Oryctolagus cuniculus: one gene and its partners. The protein of the gene in region 1 purifies or fractionates together with the protein of each later gene. This does not show direct contact. Links are inferred from orthologs where the notes say so. Each region holds a gene or a part of one and is shown on either strand. Other genes may lie near its edges. The genes, in order: KLC2, KIF5A, KIF5C and KIF5B.

The links.
Region 2: the proteins of KLC2 (region 1) and KIF5A purify together in Homo sapiens (affinity purification with western blotting; 3 studies listed by BioGRID and IntAct, with this or other methods). This does not show direct contact. The link is inferred for Oryctolagus cuniculus from reciprocal best matches to the Homo sapiens genes KLC2 and KIF5A.
Region 3: the proteins of KLC2 (region 1) and KIF5C purify together in Homo sapiens (affinity purification with western blotting; 3 studies listed by BioGRID and IntAct, with this or other methods). This does not show direct contact. The link is inferred for Oryctolagus cuniculus from reciprocal best matches to the Homo sapiens genes KLC2 and KIF5C.
Region 4: the proteins of KLC2 (region 1) and KIF5B fractionate together in Homo sapiens (co-fractionation; 7 studies listed by BioGRID and IntAct, with this or other methods). This does not show direct contact. The link is inferred for Oryctolagus cuniculus from reciprocal best matches to the Homo sapiens genes KLC2 and KIF5B.

What each region holds. Positions count from the first base shown.
Region 1 is NC_091432.1:5,579,466-5,584,161, reverse strand, and holds part of KLC2 (kinesin light chain 2), read left to right. Parts: intron 1-1,286; coding exon 1,287-1,517; intron 1,518-1,603; coding exon 1,604-1,673; intron 1,674-2,541; coding exon 2,542-2,764; intron 2,765-2,915; coding exon 2,916-3,003; intron 3,004-3,114; coding exon 3,115-3,216; intron 3,217-3,304; coding exon 3,305-3,478; intron 3,479-3,590; coding exon 3,591-3,690; intron 3,691-3,889; coding exon 3,890-3,939; intron 3,940-4,031; coding exon 4,032-4,099; intron 4,100-4,441; coding exon 4,442-4,550; intron 4,551-4,631; coding exon 4,632-4,696. UniProt on the Homo sapiens protein: Kinesin is a microtubule-associated force-producing protein that plays a role in organelle transport. The light chain functions in coupling of cargo to the heavy chain or in the modulation of its ATPase activity.
Region 2 is NC_091442.1:60,182,706-60,188,236, forward strand, and holds part of KIF5A (kinesin heavy chain), read left to right. Parts: intron 1-112; coding exon 113-222; intron 223-571; coding exon 572-673; intron 674-1,510; coding exon 1,511-1,571; intron 1,572-1,815; coding exon 1,816-1,887; intron 1,888-2,033; coding exon 2,034-2,138; intron 2,139-4,600; coding exon 4,601-4,817; intron 4,818-5,531. UniProt on the Homo sapiens protein: Microtubule-dependent motor required for slow axonal transport of neurofilament proteins (NFH, NFM and NFL). Can induce formation of neurite-like membrane protrusions in non-neuronal cells in a ZFYVE27-dependent manner.
Region 3 is NC_091434.1:93,305,034-93,310,564, forward strand, and holds part of KIF5C (kinesin heavy chain), read right to left. Parts: intron 1,283-5,531; coding exon 1,158-1,282; intron 1-1,157. UniProt on the Homo sapiens protein: Microtubule-associated force-producing protein that may play a role in organelle transport. Has ATPase activity. Involved in synaptic transmission. Mediates dendritic trafficking of mRNAs.
Region 4 is NC_091444.1:102,483,382-102,489,377, reverse strand, and holds the start of KIF5B (kinesin-1 heavy chain), read left to right. Parts: upstream 1-2,024; 5' UTR 2,025-2,495; coding exon 2,496-2,621; intron 2,622-5,996. UniProt on the Homo sapiens protein: Microtubule-dependent motor required for normal distribution of mitochondria and lysosomes. Can induce formation of neurite-like membrane protrusions in non-neuronal cells in a ZFYVE27-dependent manner.

The DNA of each region.
Region 1 (4,696 bases):
GGGGTTCTCTCTCCGCCTCCCAGAGGGGGCTCCGGGCAGACGCGGGCTGCCGAGGCCTGTGCGCCCTCCGCCACCCTGGGCAGGCTGTGTCACCTTGGCCCCGTGTCTGCTACCAGGCTGCTCAGGGAGCTTGTCTGAAGCGAGCGGCTGTGAAGACGCCTGGCCCCCCTTTGCTGTCCTGCACGGCCTGGCCTTCTCGGGGGGCCACGTGGTGTTGGCTCATCCCCTGCCAGTTGGCTGTCAGGTCGGAGATGACCACGGGGGCCTAACTCCTGGCGGTGCACACGGGGACAGGACGGCGCAGAGGACGTGGGCACCGAGACTGGGTGGGGCTGAAGCCAGGGGCAGGCGGGACCGGGAAGAGGGGCCTCTCTGCAGAAAAACCCTGGACCGTGAAGGCTGGAGAAAGGAGCGGGAGCCGAGGCCAGGGCCCCAGGCGACACGAGCCTGGGAGCTCAGAGCTGGGGAGGGGACAGCGTCAGACGGAGGCCCGGATGGAGAGGGGACAGCATCAGATGGAGGCCCGGATGGAGAGGGGACAGCGTCAGATGGAGGCCTGGATGGAGAGGGGACAGCGTCAGATGGAGGCCTGGCTGGGGAGGGGACAGCGTCAGACGGAGGCCTGGCTGGGGAGGGGACAGCGTCAGACGGAGGCCCGGATGGAGAGGGGACAGCGTCAGACGGAGGCCCGGATGGAGAGGGGACAGCGTCAGATGGAGGCCTGGCTGGGGAGGGGACGGTGTGAGATGGAGGCCTGGATGGAGAGAGGGGACAGCGTCAGATGGAGGCCTGGATGGAGAGAGGGGACAGCGTCAGACGGAGGCCTGGGTGGGGAGGGGACGGCGTCAGATGGGGGCCTCTGCCAAGGTGCCGCAGGCCCCCGCGGCGTTGGGACGTGCTGCCCTCCCCTACCTGGGCGCCCCAGAAAGCAGGGGCCGCTGTGGACGCACAGCACAAGCCAGGATGGCCTTCAGCATCTCAGGGTTCTTTGGCCACTGCTGGCCCTGGGCAGGGACGCTGCGACCCTCGAGAGAGATGGACGGTCACTCGGGAGCACGGCACCCGGCCAGCCCTCCTCCAGGGTCCTCCTGACCCCAGAAGGAAGCAGTCAGGGACCCCCCACCTCCTGCGTTTGAGCCTTGGACTGGGATTGTTTGGGGTGTCGAGGGGAAGCTCCTTGAGGGTGGGAGACCCAAGGCCTGAGGCCCCGCAGCTCCGGCCGGGCAGAACCAGGCCCGGCGCTTCCTGGAGAGCCGCGCTGACGCCTGTCCCGGCCGCCTGCACAGGTGATCCTGGCGCTGTCGAGCCACCTGGGGGCCGTGGAGTCGGAGAAGCAGAAGCTGCGGGCTCAGGTGCGGCGCCTGGTGCAGGAGAACCAGTGGCTGCGGGAGGAGCTGGCGGGGACGCAGCAGAAGCTGCAGCGCAGTGAGCAGGCCGTGGCCCAGCTGGAGGAGGAGAAGCAGCACCTGCTGTTCATGAGCCAGATCCGCAAGCTGGACGAGGACGCCGCGCCCAGCGTGAGCCCCGTGGGGAGTGGGCGGGCGGGCAGCACGGAGCCCCCGCGCCCGCCCCGCCCCGCCCTCACACGCTGTCTGCCCCCCAGGAGGAGAAGGGGGATGCCCCCAAAGACTCTCTGGACGACCTGTTCCCCAACGAGGACGAGCAGAGCCCGGGTGCGCTTGGGCAGTGGCTCTGCATGAACTCCTGGGCCGCGGGACCCCGAGGGCACAGGGAGCAGGGCCGAGCAGCCGGGGTCTTTCCTGCCTCTGACTGGCGTGTCCCAGCGTGCTGGAGCTCCCGGGGTGGGGGGGTCTCCACGGTGCTCCCCTCTCCCTGCTGGAGCTCCCGGGGGTGGGGGTCTCCACAGTGCTCCCCTCTCCCTGCTGGAGCTCCCGGGGGGGTGGGGGTCTCCACAGTGCTCCCCTCTCCCTGCTGGAGCTCCCGGGGGTGGGGGTCTCCACAGTGCTCCCCCCTCCCTGCTGGACCTCCTGGGGGGGTGGGGGTCTCCACAGTGCTCCCCCCTCCCTGCTGGAGCTCCTGGGGGGGTGGGGGTCTCCACAGTGCCCCTCTCTCCCTGTTGGAGCTCCTGGGGGGTGGGGGTCCCCACAGTGCTCCCCTCTCCCTGCCTCCCGGCCCCCGCCCCTCTGAGGAGTACACATCCAGGTAAAAGCGCTGCAGAGCCAGGCCTGGCTTCCTGTCCTGCGGTGTGTGTCACCAGCCCCTGTGTGCGCCCGGGAGTTCCCCCTCTCCCAGCCTGCTCTGTTTGGAGCACAGGTACTCAGCCGCTGTGGGCCAGGCCGCACGGGCTGTCTCCTGGCGCTGAGCATGCCGCAGGTGCAGACCTGAGGCTGAGAGGCTAGGCACTAGCGGTGGGACACACAGCTTCCGCCCAGTTTCCTGTGGGTAACCAGACCTACTCTCCAAATAGGGAAACTGAGGCAGAGTGGCTCGTGGCTTGCCCAGGGCCACGTGTCAGGTGGGGCAAAGCCATTGGCCAGCCCGGCGGGCAGGTGGTACATCTGATCTGTCCTGACCCCGCAGCCCCCAGCCCTGGAGCAGGGGATGTGGCCACCCAGCATGGGGGCTATGAAATCCCGGCACGACTCCGCACGCTGCACAACCTGGTGATCCAGTACGCGTCGCAGGGCCGCTATGAGGTGGCCGTGCCGCTCTGCAAGCAGGCACTCGAGGACCTGGAGAAGACGTCGGGCCACGACCACCCTGACGTGGCCACCATGCTGAACATCCTGGCGCTGGTCTACCGGTGAGGGCCCAGGGTCCTGAGTGGGAGGCGGACGCCCTGCGAGGCGAGCTGCCCGGAGTGCCCGAGCGCCTGGAGGACAGGGGCTGCCCAGGCCCACTCCCGCGCAGCCTGGGGTTGGACGGTGATCCTGACCGTGCCCACCTGCTCCCAGGGACCAGAACAAGTACAAGGAGGCCGCCCACTTGCTCAATGACGCCCTGGCCATCCGTGAGAAGACCCTGGGCAAGGACCACCCCGCCGTGAGTGAGGGTCGGGTCAGGAGGGGCCGCCTCCCATCCCCTGCAGCTCCTGGGTCCCCGCGTCCCTGCCCAGCGGGGCCCTGCGTGAGGAGCCTCCGTCCCCGCGCCTAGGTGGCCGCGACGTTGAACAACCTGGCAGTTCTCTACGGCAAGCGGGGCAAGTACAAGGAGGCCGAGCCGCTGTGCAAACGGGCGCTGGAGATCCGCGAGAAGGTGGGCGCAGGGCGCCGCGGGGCTGGCGAGCAGGGCAGGCAGGGGGCCCGCAGCCCCCGCCCAGCCGCCGGCTCCCTCCCCCCCGCAGGTCCTGGGCAAGTTCCACCCCGACGTGGCGAAGCAGCTCAGCAACCTGGCCTTGCTGTGCCAGAACCAGGGCAAGGCGCAGGAGGTGGAGCACTACTACCGGCGGGCGCTGGAGATCTACGCCGCGCGCCTCGGGCCCGACGACCCCAACGTGGCCAAGACCAAGAACAACCTGGTGCCTCGGGGCGAGGGGCTGGCGGCCGGGCGGGGGCGGGGGCGGGGAGAGGGAGGAGCCTGGGCTCCCCCGCCCCCCGCCGCTCACACCGCCCGCACGCTCGGCCCCGCAGGCGTCCTGCTACCTGAAGCAGGGCAAGTACCAGGACGCCGAGACCCTGTACAAGGAGATCCTCACGCGCGCGCACGAGAAGGAGTTCGGCTCCGTCAACGGTGAGCCCCTGGCGTCCGGCCCTGGACGCCCTGTGCCCCGGGACACAAGCCCCGGCCACACGCCTGTGCCTCGCTCGTCCGTCCAGCGTCCGAGATGGGTGGAGTCTGTTTCCTGGCCGTTCGACAAAGCCGTACCCGGTCCCCCCGCAACCAGGAGAGGCCTGTGTGGCAGGCTGGTGACGGCGTCCTTTCTCCCCAGGGGACAACAAGCCCATCTGGATGCACGCAGAGGAGCGAGAGGAGAGCAAGGTAGATGCAGGCCGGGCGGGCAGGTGTCAGGGAGGGGTGAGGCTGCGCGTGGGAGGAGCCTTCTCCCACCTCCCTGGCCTGCCTTCCCACAGGATAAGCGCCGGGACAGCGCCCCCTACGGGGAGTACGGCAGCTGGTACAAGGCCTGTAAAGTGGACAGGTGAGGGGCCGGGGCCGGCCGGGCGGGGCTGCTGGTGGAGTTGGTGGCAGCGGAATGGCATTGGGTCACCCTGAAACCGCTCCTCTCTGCCGGCTCCCCTGTCCCAGGGAGGTTTTCTGCACTGGCCGCCTGTCGCCCCGGGTCCTGCAGCTTCCGCAGCCCGTGGCAGCGTCCCACGAGGGCCCTGGGGTCAGGACAGCTCTGGGGTGACTCCCTGAGGACCGCAGAAGCCGGGGGGCCTAGCACAAAGCTCGCCACCCAGCGGGGGCTAGTGTGGGCTGGGTGCCGGGGGCCTGGGTTCAGGGAACACGGAGTCTGAGGTGTCCGGCCACCCCACCGCAGCCCCACGGTCAACACCACCCTGCGCAGCTTGGGAGCCCTGTACCGGCGCCAGGGCAAGCTGGAGGCCGCACACACGCTGGAGGACTGTGCCGACCGCAGCCGCAAGCAGGTGGGGCTCCTCGCGAGGGCGGACAGGCGCGTGGGCCTGCGTCTTCCAGCCGGGGCCTGATGCCCCCTGCCCCTCCCCCAGGGCCTGGACCCCGCGAGCCAGACCAAGGTGGTGGAGCTGCTGAAAGACGGCGGTAGCGGGCGGGG
Region 2 (5,531 bases), on another chromosome or scaffold:
GGCTGGGGCTGGGGCCGGGGCTGGGGCCGGGGCCGAGGGTGGCGCAGGAGCAGAGACTTCATGGGGGTGCCTTGGGAGTCCGGCTTTGAGCCTGGAGTGGGGTTATTTGCAGAAGGCTCTGGAGGTGCAGATGGAGAGTCACCGGGAGGCCCATCACCGGCAGCTGGCCCGGCTCCGGGACGAGATCAATGAGAAGCAAAAGACCATTGATGAACTCAAAGAGTAAGGTTCCCGTGGGTGGCCCCAGTCTCCCCCAGGTCCTCCCGTCCTGCGGGGCGCGCTCAGCTGCCCTTCCGGATCTGGTTCTTCCACTCCCACGTGTCGTTCCGTCCACCGTGACACAGCTTTGCAGCCCAGCTGTATCAGGAGATACAGAAGTATGGACTGCTCCCTCCCCTTGAGGCCTGACTGATTGGCGAGCTCAGGGCTGTTTGCTGTGTCACAGAAGCAGTGGCCTGCATTGATGCATCCATTCCAAGTGGCTTCCCTCCTGCAAGGAGGAGAGTGCTTGAAGAGCTTTCTTCCCTTTCCTGCGCGTGAACCTCTGCTTTTCTCCCCGCGGCCCTCACAGCCTGAATCAGAAGCTGCAGCTGGAGCTGGAGAAGCTGCAGGCCGACTATGAGAAGCTGAAGAGCGAAGAGCACGAGAAGAGCGCCAAGCTGCAGGAGCTGACGTGAGTGATGCTCACCCGCGCCCAGCGGGCCCACAGAGGCGGGACGCCTGGGCACCTGGCACACATGGCCACCCACAGGTCAGGGAGGGGCCAAGGAGACTCAGAAGCGACCTGAGTAGTAGCCGGAAGAGGCCTGTGGGTTCTGTTAACTGTGAAAAGCTGGTGTAAGAGCAGTCTGGTATGACCCCATAAAAACCTGCACGTGGGTGCAGGGCCCCAAGGACTTGCTTCATCTTCCACTTCTTTCCCAGGCACATTAGCAGGGAGATGGATTGGAAGTGAAGCAACTGGGACTTGAACCGGTGCTCATACGGGATGCTGGTGTCACAGGCGGCTGCTTAACCCACTACACCATGACACCAGCCCCATCTCTCTCTCTCTTTTTTTTTTTAAAGAGGGATGTTCTTTTTCTCATTTTTTTTTTTTTATTTTCTTGAGAAGCAGAAAGTGAGAGAGAGTTTGCTTCCATATGCTGATTTGCTCCCCAGCTGCTGCTGGGCTGGCCAAAGCTAGAAGCCAGGAGCTCAATCCGGGTCTCCCATGTGGGTGGCTCGGGACCCAGTAGCCCGAGCCATCACTGCTGCTTCCTAAGGTCTGCCTAAGTGGGAAGCTGGAACCAGGAGCTGGATTCAGGAATCAAACCCAGGCTCACTGTGGGACGCAAGTGTCCTCACCCCAGGCTAAATACCCACTCCCTTAGCGCTCTTTTAAAATCCTTTTCTAGTTTTTGTACAGTATCCCTGAGTACTTTGTGCAACACAATGATCAGGGATAAAAGGGGTGGGGGCGGTGAGTGAGGCTTTCTGTGTCCTGCTCTCTCTGCGTCCTCTGCTGCAGATTTCTGTACGAGCGACACGAGCAGTCCAAGCAGGACCTCAAGGGTCTGGAGGAGACAGTTGTGAGTGGCTTCCTTCTGTGCCAAGCAATGGGGTGTGGGGGGCGGGGCTTCGTGACGTCCCCTCTGTTTCTCCCTGACCCCTCTCCCCGTCCAGTCTGTGGCGTAATCAGGACACCCCCCACCCCCTGCCCCTGGAAAGGGTGAGTGACTCCCTTGACTGTGTAGAGCCGAGGTTCCCGTAAGTCTGGAGGGAGGGGGTGGGTGTGGCACCTGGCCAGCCCCAGTGTTTCATGATCCCTTCCAGGCCCGTGAACTCCAGACCCTCCACAACCTTCGCAAGCTGTTCGTTCAAGACGTCACGACTCGAGTCAAGAAAGTGAGTGCCATCCTCGGCCGCGCGCGTGCGCACACACACACCCACCCCTCTCCACGTATCTGCAGCCCCTGCTCTCCCTGGTGGGGCTGGCTGCACCCGCTCTCTGGGGGACCTGCTTGGCCACATCTTTGTCTGTCTCTGATCAGAGTGCAGAAATGGAGCCCGAGGACAGTGGGGGGATTCACTCCCAAAAGCAGAAGATTTCCTTTCTTGAGAACAACCTGGAACAGCTTACAAAGGTTCACAAACAGGTAAGAGTCCGGAGGTGGGGCCAAGACAGTCTTTGAGGCCAGACACCTAGGACACCCAGATCCTTGGAGACCCTGGGTCCAGAAACACCTGGTTGCTTGTTTTCCTGTTCTCTTTTACTTGCCCTACTGATGCGGATGCCGTCTTTGGGCCTTGGCCTTGGCCTTTGCTGCCTGCCTGCTTTCCCTTCTCCGAGTCCCTGACCCAGCCCTGCTCCAAGTGGAGTTCCTCAGACTTGCCTTGGAGAGAGAGGTTGAGGCTGGCAGAGGTCGGAAAGGCTTGGGGGGTGGGGGTGTCTCTGTCACCACACCAGAGGGAAGGCAGGGAGAAAGAGGAAGGGTGAGAACTCCAGCTGCCTAGGCCTGGGCTGGCCTGCAAGGACATTAAGCAGTGTCCTGGAGACGGCCCGGGCAGCGCCTGGCTGGGGCAGGTGAGAGCCTCTGTGTGTTTGGTCGCTGCCTCTCTGCGCCCCTCCTTGCTGCTGTGGCTCTAAGGTGCATGACTGGTGCTCACAGGGGCGGGGTGGGGAGGCAGAGGGCAGTCCAAAGGAGTGAGGACAGGAAGTATTTGGTGTGTACAGAGCAGGTGCACCCTCGCTGCTGCCACGCAGCTGGGCCTTGAAGGCAGGCGCAACAGCCTGGCGAGTGGCTCTTCTAATGAATTCATAAAAGAAGCTCGAGCACGCACTTCAGTTCCGTCCTTGCAAATCCACCTGACAGTTCCATCAGACTCATATTCTCACTAGCCGGGAACTTCAACTTCTCTTCCTCCCAATGTAATGTCTAGCCTATATGGTATGGACTATATATATATATATATATATATATATATATGATTTATTTTATTTATGTGAAAGAGTTACAGAGAGAAGTAGAGACAGAGAGAGAGAAAGAGGTCTTCCATCTGCTGGTTCACTCCCCAAATAGCCACAATGGCTGGAGCTGAGCCAATCTGAATCCAGAAGCCAAGAGCTTCTTCCTGGTCTCCGATGTAGGTGCAGGGGCCCAAGGACTTGGGCCATCCTCCACTGCTTTCCCAGGTACATTAGCAGGGAGCTAGATCAGAAGTGGGGCAGCTGGGACTCAAACCGGCACCCATATGGGATGCTGGTGCTGTAGGCCGGGGCTTTAACCCACTGCGCCACAGCATTGGCCCCCAACAGTAAATATTTAATACATTAAAAATTTTTTTTGTTTGTTTATTTAGAGAGAGGCAGAGGCAGTTAGAGAGAACTCCCATCTGCTTGTTTACTCCCCCAATGCCTTGCAGTGGCTGAGGCTGGGCCAAACCAAAGCCAGTAGCCAGAAATTCAATCTGGGTCTGGCACAGGTTGGGGGATCCAGTTACTCGAGTCAGCGCCCTTGCCTTCCAGAGCCTGCATTAGCAGGAAGCTGGAGTCGAGAGTCAGAAGCCAGGGCTGGGTATGGAACCCAGGCGCTCCCACGTGGGATGAGGGCATCTTAACTGCTAGACTAAACACCACTGCTACTTTTTTCAAAAAATGAAAATATCCCAAACCTGTGTCCCAGGGATGACCTGCAGGCTCTATTTTGATTTGTGTCTGCAGAAGTCTTTACAGCTATTTTTATTTCCTTGACTTATAAAACAGTGCAACAACATTTTTACGGAAACGTTGAAAAAATAGCCAGGAAATGGTTTGTAATCAGTTCTGCCATTCTGTTCTCCCCACTGTGTGTTCACCATCCCTCTCTGTGCAAATGCCGATTGTCAGAGGAGAGGTGCACAGAAAGGCTCCCAGCTCCGCCCCTTTACTGCTCTGCTGGCTTCCCCTGTGTCTGCCAAGGCCCAGCACCTCCTGCAGTCTTGGTGCTCCCAGTCCTTGTGGGGAGCCCTGTGAAAGAGCAAGAAATCTTTGCTCGCTGCAAAGGTAGCAGCTGCTCCCTCGCTCTGGCTTCATTCAGATGGGGGTAGGACAGCCCAGGAAGTCTTGGAATGAGAAGGTAGTGAGCAGAAATGTGAGAACGACTCTGTGTGTGTGTGTATGTGTGTGTGTGTGTGTGTGTGTGTGTGTGTGTGTGTGTGTGGCAGGGGAGTGGGGTGGAGGAGGGGTCTGAATTCCGGCTTCTGCTCCTGCTCTGCACCTGACCGGCACCCATTCGTAGTGCCATCACCACCTCCACGCTGCGACTCCTTGCACTGCCCCATGCGTGCTCACAAAGCCATCCCCGGGGCGGGGTCGTCGGCTGGTCCCCATGGTTGCCCTGCAGTTGTTGATCCAGCACATGCTGTGGCATTTGTTGAAGGGAAATGTCCAGCCCAGACAGTGGAGAGGGCAGGTTTTGCTGCCTAGAGAACAGAACTTTGTAACGCATGACTGCCCCTTGCTCAGAGAGAAGTGGGCAGGACAGTACGCTATGCCAAGGGACCTGGTGTCCGTCTTCTCTGGCTTCGAGATCTTTCTTCTCTCTCCCCATCCCTCACCCCGTGCTCTTCCCTTTGGCAGCTGGTACGTGACAATGCAGATCTGCGTTGTGAGCTTCCTAAATTGGAAAAACGACTTAGGGCTACGGCTGAGAGAGTTAAGGCCCTGGAGGGTGCACTGAAGGAGGCCAAGGAAGGCGCCATGAAAGACAAGCGGCGCTACCAGCAGGAGGTGGACCGCATCAAGGAGGCCGTGCGCTACAAGAGCTCCGGCAAGCGGGGCCACTCGGCGCAGATCGGTGAGTGGCGGCCCTAACACCTGGAGCAGACTCTGCAGCCCTCGAGCGCCAAGCCGCTATGTGACTGCTTCTTCCTTGCCCCATGCCTGAAAAGTAAAAAAGGAATGATTATCTTTTTTAAAATTTTATTTTATTAATTTGAAAGGCATAGAGATGGGTGGGGAGATAAAGAGAGAGAGAGAGAGAGAGATGTTCCATCCACTGGTTCGCTCCCCAAATGTCTGCAACAGCCAAGGCTGGGCCAAGCTGAAGCCAGGAGTCAGGAACTCATGCTGGGTCTTCCCCGTGGGTGGCGGGGGCCCAAACACTCGAGCCATCACCTGCTGCCTCCCAGGGTGCACACCAGCAGGAAGCTGGATGAGAAATGGAGCTGGGACTTGAACTCAGGGACTCTGATGCGGCGTCTTACCTGCGCTGCCAAATGCCTGGCCCTGTGATACTTATCTTACATGGAACTGGTGGGACCCCAGCTAAATGACCCCCGTGACCCCAGGGAGCACATGGTGACCATAGCCTCCTCAAGGTCATTTCTTCTTTTGGAAAGAAACTTACCTGCGTCATCATTACTATTATTTTCGTTTTATTTGAAAGAGAGATAGAGATCTTGCATGCACTGGTTCGCCCCTCACATGGGAATGCAGTCCAGGTCTCCGACATGGTCCAGGGGCTCAAGTACTTGAGCCGTCACCTGCTGGCTGCTGAGTGCGCATGAGC
Region 3 (5,531 bases), on another chromosome or scaffold:
TGGCAAGAATGAAGGTGCCATCAGGCTCTTTACGCCGACCCATAGATGGCATGGCCGGAAAGCTTTTCAGCCGTCAACAGTCAGTCGGGAACACAACAGCACTGCTTTGTAACTTCGAAGCTACAAGCCCACACCAGCACAATGTTGGACTCCCAACCAGGAATATCCAAAGGATCTTCTGCTCATAGCCCCACAAATGCAAAGGGGAGGGAAACTTAAGGAATTATGACTTAGACAGATGCTAGAGGACATAACTTGGCAAATGGGAACTCAGTGATGTGGTGCAGCACATCACTGGGGGTCAGTGGGGGTCAATGATACAGCGAGGGAGACTGACCAAACCTCAAGGCTCACCCTGATGGCCACTAAAGGCATGATGGCAGTGACAAGGGAGGAAAAGGCACTGTGCAGGTGCATCTGCTCTGAGATGTTGCCCAATGGGGAAAGATTCCCCAGCCATGGTGTGGCAGCAGGAGTCTCCATTGGTGCTACAGAATTGAGGCTGGTAAGGGGCAGGTGGGAGATTCTAGGAAGCCTACTTGGGAGGCATGGGATGGGGTACAGATGCCAAAAGAAAGTCCTGACAAAACCAGAGACCAGTCAGGGTTTGTGGCTAAAAGAATGAGCACAGGACTCACAGCCTAAGGAACCAAGGCCGCCCTCAGAAGATAGATCAATCCATGCCCACTGCCAGGAGAACCAGGAAGAGGCCGAGGTTACACAGATTTTATCAGCAAAACAGAGCCACAGAGGCAGAGCTGCTGCTTCCCACGGCAAAGCCATTCCCTGGCCTAGCTGAGCCTGGTACACAGGGCATCTTCCCTTTTCTCAGACATTCATGCCCCTTCCACATTGGCACAGCTGTCCTTGTCAGGACACGTTCAGACCAACACTTGACTAACGTTGTCACCAGGGCCTGTTCGGCATAAATCACCATTAGCATTCAGAGCATCTGCCTGTGATATGAACAGGGAACTTCAGGACCAGAAAATAAAGAGCAGGGAAACAAAGGTTAAATTTAATAACACCTTGGCACAACATCAGAAACTTAAAAAGCTTTTTAAAATAGGGAATAGAAAGGCATAAAAACCACGCCATTGCACGCTGAAGCAAATAACAGGGGAAATTATAGATAACACAAATAAAGAACCAATTACCTTTTCGCTCCCAGCCAAATCAACCAAATAAAGCTTCCCACTGAGTTTTTTTTCAGTCTCCACATTCTCTTGTTTAATATTAATCAGGAAGATACTGTGACTTCTAGAGCTGTGTTCATTCATGTCTGAAAAGGAAAATAGTTTACTGCGCTACAAAAAAACACATAAACTGAGATGGCAAACCTCTCGACTAAAAAGCGCAATAAATCATGCCTTCCCAGTCAGTTGTGAAAACCACCTGAGACACACTGTTTCCTCTTAAAAACAAGCTCACTCTTGAAAAGCAAGATTTAACATATCTTCAAGTAGCAGAGAAATTCATCTAAAAATCTTGGTCAACAGCTTGAGATACTCTAGCTCTGCCTGAAGCCCACATTCTACCGCAGCCTGACTCTCCTTCAGTATGTAGCTTTTTCCCCTGCCTCACTTTAAATCTCACAGATGCTATTATCTTGATTAGTACCTGATATATTCTAGCTCAGTCACGTATGGAAGCCTGACCTTATCAGGAACAGTATAAGCTTCCTTAAGGAAGGATTAAGACTTTCTTAAGGAAGGATTAAGACCTACACCTCTTCTGCAACTCATGTTAAGTGCATAGAAGATCTCAAAGATTAAAAATGCCCCCATTAGGATGGAGTACTAGAAATAAAGTTCCTTGAAAACCCTGGCCAGTCAACCAGGCAGAAACAGAGGCCCACAATGCAACCCTCACCAGCAATCATTGCTCAAAACCACCTCACCAGATATGTAAAAAGTCCTAAAGAAACCTTCTTAAGAAACTGTTAGGACTGTTTAACAAAGCATACAAAATCAACACATAAAAAATCACTCACATTTCTATATCACAATAATCCAAAAAGTAAATTAAGAAAATGCCATTTACAATAGGAACAAAAATAATAAAATATTTAGGAATAAACTTAAAAAAGGAGGTAAAAGTTTTGTACACTGAAAATTAGGAAATGTTGCCAAAAGATATTAAAGAAAACACAAATAAATGGGAAGACATCCCATGTACATTGGAAGACTTACTCTGGCAAAATGGCAACACCAGAGGCCAGTGTTAGCACAGCAGGTTAGCAGTCTCCTGCGACAATGGCATCCCATATGGGTGCCAGTTCATGTTCCAGCTGCTCTATTTTCAATTCAGCTCCCTGCTAATGTACCTGGGGAAGCAGCGGAAGATGCCCAAGTGCTTGGGCCCCAGCTACTCACATGAGAGACCCAGACGAAGCTCTTGGCTCCTAGCTGTTGCAGCCATTTGGGGAGGGAACCAGTGAATGGAAGATCTCTCTCTCACTCTCTCTTTCTCTGTCTCTGTCTGTCCCTCTCTCTCTGTAACTGTGCCTTTCAAATAAATAAATAAATCTTCAAAATGTCAACACCATCCAAAATAACCCACATGTTCAATGCAAACACTATCAAAATCTCAGTGACAGTTTTTGTAGAAACAGAAAATTCCTTCCTAAGATTCATACAGAATCTCAAGAGATCTTGAATAGCCAAAACAATCTTGAAAAGTAAGAACAAGGTTGGACACCTCACAGTTACTGCTTTCGAAAGTTACTACAAAGCAACAGTAATCAGAACAGTGTGGTAGCAGCAAAAGACCAACATACAGACGAACAGAACAAAATAAAGAGCCCTAAAATAAACTCCAGCACATCAGTCAAATAACCTTCATCAAGGGTAACCAAAAAGTTCAAGGGGGAAATGACAGTCCTTTCACCAAATGGTGCTGCAACATTTACACATAAAAGTCTCAAACCATACACAAAAACTGGTTTGGTTCAGAAAGGAAAATATAAGATTCTTTGAGGAAATCATAGCACCAGATTTGGCAATGATTTCTTGGATAAGACACTAAAAGCATAAGTGCAATAGATGGATGGAAATGATGTTAACACACAATGAGGATGTGTTTAATACCACAGAGCTGCATAGTTAGCTAATGTTCTGAAGCAGCAGATCTAAATTAAGGAACCGAAAGGTATACTGTGAATAATAATTAGTCATGAATAATTCGTGACTAACAACAGCTTATGAAACAGAATGAACTACTTTTTTGCCAAAACAGATATATTACTGATATAAGCATATCAGTATTGGGCAGCCATGTGGCACACTGGTTAAACAGGGCGTGGGACATCCTTATCCCATAGCAGTGTGGCTAGGTTTCAGTCCCAGGCTCTGCTAACATGGACCTTGGGAGATAGTACAGGTAGTGGTTCAAGTACTTGGGTCTCTTCCATTCATCTCGGAAACCTGGATTGGGTTCTCAACTCCCAGCTTTGGCCTGGATCAGCTCTGGCTATTATAGGCAACTGGGGAATGAGCCAGTGGATAGGAGATCTCCTTCTCTATCCATCTGTCTCACTGCCTTTCTAGTATATAAAATAAAGATTGTTTTTTAAAAACAATCTTACACTCTTCCCTGTGTACATGTTTTAAGCAAGAGGGAAAGAAGTGAAGTCTGACCACACTGTATACAAGTTTAGGCTCTGGGGCTGGCACTGTGGTATAGTACGTAAAGCATCTGCCTGCAGCATCAGCATTCCATAGGGGCACCAGTTCTAGTCCCTACTGCTCCTCTTCCAATCCAGCTCTCTGCTATGGCTTGGAAAGCAGTAGAAGGTGGCCCAAGTCCTTGGGCCCTTGCACCCAGTGGGAGACCTGGAGGAAGCTCCTGCCTCCTGACTTTGGCTTTGGATCAGATCAGCTCCATCTGTTTGAGGAGTGAACCAGCAGATGGAAGACCTTTCTCTCTGTCTCTCCCTCTCTCTATCTGTAACTCAGCCTCTCAAATAAATAAATCAATCTTTAAAAAAAAAAGTCTAGACTCACCTATGAAATCTGCCACACATATAAACATCATCAGACACACTCTTGGGGTAGAGAAAAGGCTGGATCACAGAATCATAGAACCTCAGGTGGAAGAGACTTAAAGAGCTGAGATGAGCCTCTTCTACAACAGGATAGTGAACTCACTCTCTCTCTAGGAGCAGGCTTTAGTTGGGGCAGCCATAAGGATTACAGAGTTCTTATGGCAAATGAAAATCTATCCTCCCTAGTGGTTAAGACACTGCTTCCTAATAATGTATACCCTGGGAAGAAGCAGGTGATGGCTCGACTACCTAAAAAGCTGCCACTCACATGGGACAAATGGACTGATCTTCCAGCTGGGTCTCAGATTCAGCCTGGTACAGTCCAGGCTGCTGTGGGCATTTGTACAGTGAACCAAAAGATGGGAGCCTTCTGTTTGTTTTTTTGTCTCTGACTTTCTCTCTCAAATAAATAAAATGAACTAATTTTTTAGAAGCTATGCCTCCCAAGAACCTCAGCAATCCTGCAAGTCTACCCATTGAGACCAAACAGAGCAAGCTGACCTTCTGACCCAGGGTCGGCACCTTCAACTGCTCACATGTCCTCCTCAGATGTTTCTCCCCTCCAACTTCCTCTTTTGGTGAACTTACTTTCATTTGGCCACATCCTTCTATGCCTACCTAACCTTTTCATGGAACCTCTGCCGCTCTAGTACCATATGTGCTGCTTGTCTAAGATGCCTATGCTGGCCGGCGCCGTGGTTCACTAGGCTAATCCTCCGCCTAGCGGCACCGGCACACCGGGTTCTAGTCCCAGTCGGGGTGCCGGATTCTGCCCCGGTTGCCCCTCTTCCAGGCCAGCTCTCTGCTGTGGCCCGGGAGTGCAGTGGAGGATGGCCCAAGTCCTTGGGCCCTGCACCCCATGGGAGACCAGGAGAAGTACCTGGCTCCTGCTATCGGATCAGCGCGGTGCGTGGGCTGCAGCGCGCCAGCCGCGGCAGCCATTGGAGGGTGAACCAACGGCAAAGGAAGACCTTTCTCTGTCTCTCTCTCTCTCTCACTGTCCACTCTGCCTGTCAAAAAAAAAAAAAAAAAAAAAAAAAAAAGATGCCTATGCTGGGGAAGGTAGTGCCCAGCAAATGAGCCAATAAGAATGCATCTGCTATTAACCAGCATTGGAACGTTACCAGAAAGCTCCAAGTTCTGCTTTCTAACTTCCTCCTTGCCTTTCTTTTCCTCTTATATGAATGGCATGCAGAATTTGTTGGCTTGGATTTTTTTAACCTGAATACTAACATGGTTAAAATAACATTCAGGCTTAAGCTGTTATCAAGGTCCATAGTCTCAATCAGTATTTCCATAACCTCAGAGTACTACGCACAGTCAACAGCACCTTTCCCAAAACCTGCCCTGGACACCCTGGGACTACACTTGTTCTGATGTCTGGGTTCAGCTCACCATTCACCACACACCTTGCCATGTATTGCTTCATTTATACCTCACCTCCACCTGTGCTGGGTGGGAGGCAGACATCTGTATCCTAAGTGAC
Region 4 (5,996 bases), on another chromosome or scaffold:
TGTACAGTGTACATGTGTTTCTGCTTTGTTATACAAAAAATCAAAAATTTAAAAGTACATATATAAAGACTAAGAAGCTGTATTAGTGAAGAAAATTTAAAAATATCAATTTAACATGTAGTATTTGCAGTCTACAGCAATGTCTGTTCTAGATCTTCATAATCTTACTCACCACTCACTCACTGACTCACCCAGAGCAACTTCCAGTCCTGCAAGCTCCATTCATGCTAAGTGCTCTATACACTTAAACACTTTTATGTTGCTTTTTTCCCATGTTTAGCTACACAGATACCATTGTGTTATAATTGTCTGCAGTATTCAGTTCAGTAACGTCTATACAAGTCTGTAACCCAGAAGCAACATGCTAAGCCATGTAGCCTAGGTACAGAGAAACCTGTACCATCAAGTCGTGTAAATACACTCTGTGATGTCCACCATGTCATGGTGTATTACTAAATAAAATCTGTCCTTAGCATTTAAACCACTATTGGCTTGATCTTTGACAGACGGCTAATAATGAACTGAAAACAAGGAAAGTATTAAAGACAGGGAGAACAGGCTTATTTGCTTTTTTTTTTTCTTCAATAAAGCTGAAAAAAAGTGAAATCAAAGATGTTGTAAGAAGATGGTGATTGTGGGTAGCATCCAGGTGTTGGATGAAGTTGGACACAATTCAGAGAATAAGTGAACAATTAGTCTTAGGGAGAGACAGTTGTCTTTTTCTGGAACTAGAGATAAAAACGACAGGATCAATTAGATATGATGGGGAAATCAGACGACATAGAATAGGTCGTAAGTGTGAGAAAGCAAAAATGTGATGTTCATTCATCAGCCTGGACCGACAGCTACGATGAAGGCTAACTGCAAGGTGAGGACAGGAAACAGGTACTTCTCTCCGGGACACGTCACATCCATAAAGTCACAATGTCCTTTCCATCAATTTCTTACCCAGAAGCTTTGTTCTTTCGAACCACCGACTATCACAAACTATCGAAATTAAAGCAGTAAGGATAAAACATCCCACTCTTCCCTGAGGAATCTAAGGCACAGGGAAGCAGCCTGGATTCCCAAGCCAGGTGGAAAGCTTCGGAAAAAGCGGTTTCTCCGCATTAATTCTGTGGTGTTCAAGGAAGCAGAACCTCTGCTCCCCTGTAGTTCAGACCCCAGGTTGGTGCCTTCCCTCAAAGCTCTGCTTGGCATGGCGCCTCTTAAACCGCCGCTTCATTTAACTTTTTTTTTTTTTTTTTAACCCAAACTGCGCTTTCCCCAAAGCCCTGTGGTAACCCAGACCCCCTTGCACGGGAGGACCCTTTATGGTATCCATCTTCCACACACGGGGGGCGAAGGCAACTTTGCCATGGTTTCCCCTTCGACCTGTAGTCCACCAGTCTCCCTAGGCCTCCTAAGGCCAGCTCTGCGTTCCAGGCCAGTCACCCCTCCGGAACTGGCACGGACCGGTTCCATCCGTTTCCTCGCGGGAGGTAGGCTCTCGGGTTCCCTGAGGATGCGCCGCCACCTGATGATCCCGGCCCCGGCCTACGCCTTCTTCAGCTGCCTACTTCATCCCTCAGGAGAAACTGCCTTCTGTCTCACTCCTGTCCTCCCAGCCCGCTCTGAGGAGGGAGCAACTGCTTCCACCAGCGAGCCAAGTCCCACCTTCATTTCAAATCTTTCTTCCTGGCAACGCGCTCTTAAAAAAAAAATGGGCCAGGGAATTTTTTTTTTTTTCTTTTCCTCAGACCAAAATGAAAGCGAACTCCTCCTTTCGGGGAATCCGGTATTTCATTGAAACAAGCTACAGCTTTAAGGAGTTACCAACAACGTCTTCGTCTCCCAAAGAAAGCTAAATGGCTCTGGGGAACTCAGCGGCGGTCGGCAAGGCCCCGGTGTCCAGCAGCCCCGCAGCGCGGGAGCTTCCAGGAAAACTTCACTCCGCGACCCCGCCGCGGTGACGGCGCCGCCCCCGGCGCAGCCCGGGCCCCCAGCGCGCGCGCTGATTGGCCGCCGGGGCTCAGCGCGCCTGCGCAGTGCTGGTCCCGCGCCGCCCATCCCACCGCCCGGGCGCCCGTCGGCGGCCTCAGCAGGGATCGGGCGGCTGCCGGCGCACCGGCGAGCGGGCAGACGATTGGGGAGCCTGGTGGGCCCGGCCCGGTGTTCCCGAGGAAAGCAGACCGGGGCCGCTCTCCTGCGCCCTTCTCCCAAGCCTCCGCAGCCCCCGCGGCCCGCGCAGGCCAGCCGGGGAGGAGCCGCGGACACTCTGCCCCGGTGCGGCCGCGGCTGCCATGATGGATCGGAAGTGAGCCTGTGGGCGACTGCTGCCGGCGCTGGCGTTTCGAGTGCCGGCTCCTCGGCCGCGCCTGTCCGGGGAAGTGCCGGCGCGGCCGGCTGCCGACGCTCGCGGCCCTCGGGACCCCAGACCGTCCGCTGCGCCCCGCTGCCTGCAGAACTGAGCGGCGGGGAGTGGCCCCCGGCCTCGGGCCCCGGCTTCCAGGAACATGGCGGACCCGGCCGAGTGCAACATCAAAGTGATGTGTCGCTTCAGACCGCTCAACGAGTCCGAGGTGAACCGCGGCGACAAGTACGTGGCCAAGTTCCAGGGAGAAGACACGGTCCTGATCGCGGTGAGTGAGGGACCCCTGCCCCCAGCTCGCGTCCTGAGCCCCGGGGCCCGGCCGGGTCGGGGGGCAGAGGGAGGTGGCGGGGGTGCGGACCCCGCGACGGAGCCTTGGTGACCCCAGCCGTGCGGGTTCAGGGCACCCAGGGCAGGGAGACGGCGCCGCCCCGCCGGCGTGCCAGGGCCGCCCCCACCCCGGCTTTGGGAGACGGGAGGCGCCCGGGCTCGGTCGGGGACACTCCCCGACCTGGGGCGCCGGAGCAGCCGTGCGGGGAGCGGGTTTGGTGCGTGTTAAGTTTGGGCGTGCGGTCACTCGGGATGGGCTTGGTGATCGCGACTTCTCGGTCTGAAAAGTCCAGCTGCAAAGTGACCTGTGGGGCCGGCCAGCCCTTTTGTGCTGCAAGCCGTGAAGGTACTAGGTTTGTAGGAACGCAGAGCTAGGTGTTGCAGCTGACTGTCTCCGTGGCGGGTTTTACCCGCCCTACAAACGATCGCCCAGCCGCCTTTGGAATGAATGACTTACCACGTTAACAGTTACAAATGGCAAATTGAAGACTGTCCAGAGAAACAGTGGGTTTTCCTCTGCCGCTGATCAGTTTTGGTTAATCTTGTAACAGAGCTAGCTGAGTTCGATGGGGTCAAATAACGTGCTGAGAAAGATCCAGAATCTCACTGTGCTTTTTAACAGGGGGTAACAGACTAGGAAAAAAGCGTTTACTTCATATCAGTGTGTGATTTAAAAAGAAAGATTCTAAAAAAGATAAAATTGACCAGCAGACAGGACTGTAGTTCTTCAGGGTTTAAACTGAAGGTTTGCAAAGTTCACATCTTGAAGACGAAGAGTTGTTAGGTCATTAACAGCTACCAAGTACTTCTGGGTAAAGATGTTAGGCCGGTTCTTTGTTAGCAAGTCCTCTAGAAAAACTCCTGGTATAAATGACATCATGCGAGGTGGAGAAGTCAGGCACAGTAATCCTTTTTCCTTTAGCGTGGTGTATTTTACATGGAATCAGTAGAAGCTTGCAAGGCCTGGATTAGTTGTCAAAACTTGAGGCCACTAGTTTCTTCAGGGTGTTTGTGGTTACTCAGCTTCATCTACAGTTGACTCAACAAACCACTTTTTCCTTTTACGCTGTGTTAAGCTTCTCTTATGGATCCCGATTTCTATGTGTGTATTGACACAAATCTCCAAGTATCACTAAGGTTCTTTAGGATTCACAATGTATTAAGATCGGGGTAGAAGGTAACCTTCTGTTATGGCTCAAATATGACATAAAATGTGAAGAGAGCTAAAAGAGGAAGAGGTAATTACCACAGGAACCATGCATTTAGTTTAGGTTGTTTTCCTTTGGGAAAGGTAAATGTATGAATTCTGTTTTTCAGAATTTCTTCAGTACTGTAAGTACGTTGAAATGATAATGAAAAATAATGGGTAGGTGATTGGTTTGTGATTCAGTAGTCAACAGTTGGTGACTCTGTAGGTAAACTGGTGAGCATTTTAGTCTGGTGTTTTAAAGTGTAAGCAAAAATACATTACAACCTTAAAAATTATAAAGCAACATGTCTAGTTCATTATTTTCAGGAACTGGTTTCTTGTATATAACTACATTAATTGCACAGAAGTCTGGTAAATGAATTAAGAGCAATTAGGAGGAGTGAAATTAAGAAAATCATCTCTTGGTTTGTTTTGTTCATTTTGTTGAATTCTGATCCTGATTCAGACTAAATGGGAGAGAATTGCTGCAATGAAGCATTTAAAACTAAATTATTGTAAACATGATTGAAGAAAATTTTGTACAGTCCTCTAGTTAAGTCAGAATTTAAAGTATTTCAGCTTATGATGTTACTGAATTATCAGTGCTCCTGGAGAAAGTAATTTTTAAGATTTCTGATTCTCTTCTAATTTCAGTTTTTAATATTTTGTCCAAGCTTTGTTCCTGTTAAGTCAGGATATCACATCTTTTGATTAAGTGTTTGGTGAATGCTAAAAATATCACACTGAAATGAAGCAAATGAATATCATGAAAAATTTTAAATGGTACAAATATAACTCACATATTTGCTTTAAATTAGAAAATTTGTTATCCACAAGGCAGGGAGGACAAAGGAAGCAGCTCATGTGGTTCAAGTGAACTTGCTAAAAATACCAGAAAAAAGTCAGGAAGAAAAATGACTGATGTGTATATTTATGCATCATAAAAGTAGTACTTGCTCATTTGATTAAGTATCCTTGCATATCATTGATCCTTATATGGAGTACCATAGAGGTTGGCAGAACTAAAAACAGGCTGCTGTAGTTCATTGATACTAGAAGAGACTAAAACTAATCAGATCATCTTGCTCATTTCCTTGCCTAAAGCAAAACATGATTTGCCATGTCAGGTCAATGAGGATTTGGTGTGGGTGCCCTCTTGATTAAGAATGAAATTGAAAGAGAAGAGGGAACCACCGTCTGTACCCTTACAGCTGTAGAATAGTATCCGCAACCAGTGCGTAAGGAAGGAAAAATTTAACTTACAGTCCCGTGTGAAAAGATCACAATCCAGAATTCCAGACAAAGGCTTGTCCCTGCCAGCAGGGTGTCCTTCATAACCAAATTTGGTGTTCAGCCTGCTGTGTGCAGACTCAAACAGGATCCCTTCACTTAGGAAATCTGAGGTATGGTTGCAGTTCAGATACACTTACTCCTGTTTGGTTTGTTCCCTTGAAGCCTAAGTCAGATGTGAATGCATGTGATTCGGCGTTTGTAAAATTGAAATCGGAAACTTTGGAGTGTTTTTGAAGATACTTAGAATTAAAGGTTGCATAATGTACATTTCAAGGCTGAGAGCCAGATTTTTAAAACAAAGCTGTCCAGATACTGAGTTTTTCGTTTACTTGAAAGATATAGACGTCCCTTGATGATAGGCTATTAGAGATAATTTTTTTGTTTTACAGAGTCTTTTTTAAACAATGATATAACCTCTAAAAATAGTCACTCACTTCCAGCTTATGTTTGTGTGTTATCTTTTAATCATTGTCATTCATTTTATTTTAGTAAGGGTGTGGTGATTACATTTTTTCTGTGAGGTGTTGCTAGAGTAAACAGCTACATAAAGTACTTTTGAGGCACATTGCCCATTATTTCGGGCATGTCTTTGTAAATATGATTTGGAAGCACTTTTTTTATTTTTTACTGATGTGAAAATTAAGGTATGACAACACTCACTAGTGTTACTGTTCTTTAAATGTTTGTTTTAATAAGATTTTTTATTTGACTTATTTTGGAGGGACACTTGTCTTCATTCTTTTACTATTTTCTATTGACTAAATTGTTTCTTGTAAGCAAAATTAGAATCAACCATTGTTTAACTTTTACTTTGATATTTTTTGCATGCCTGTT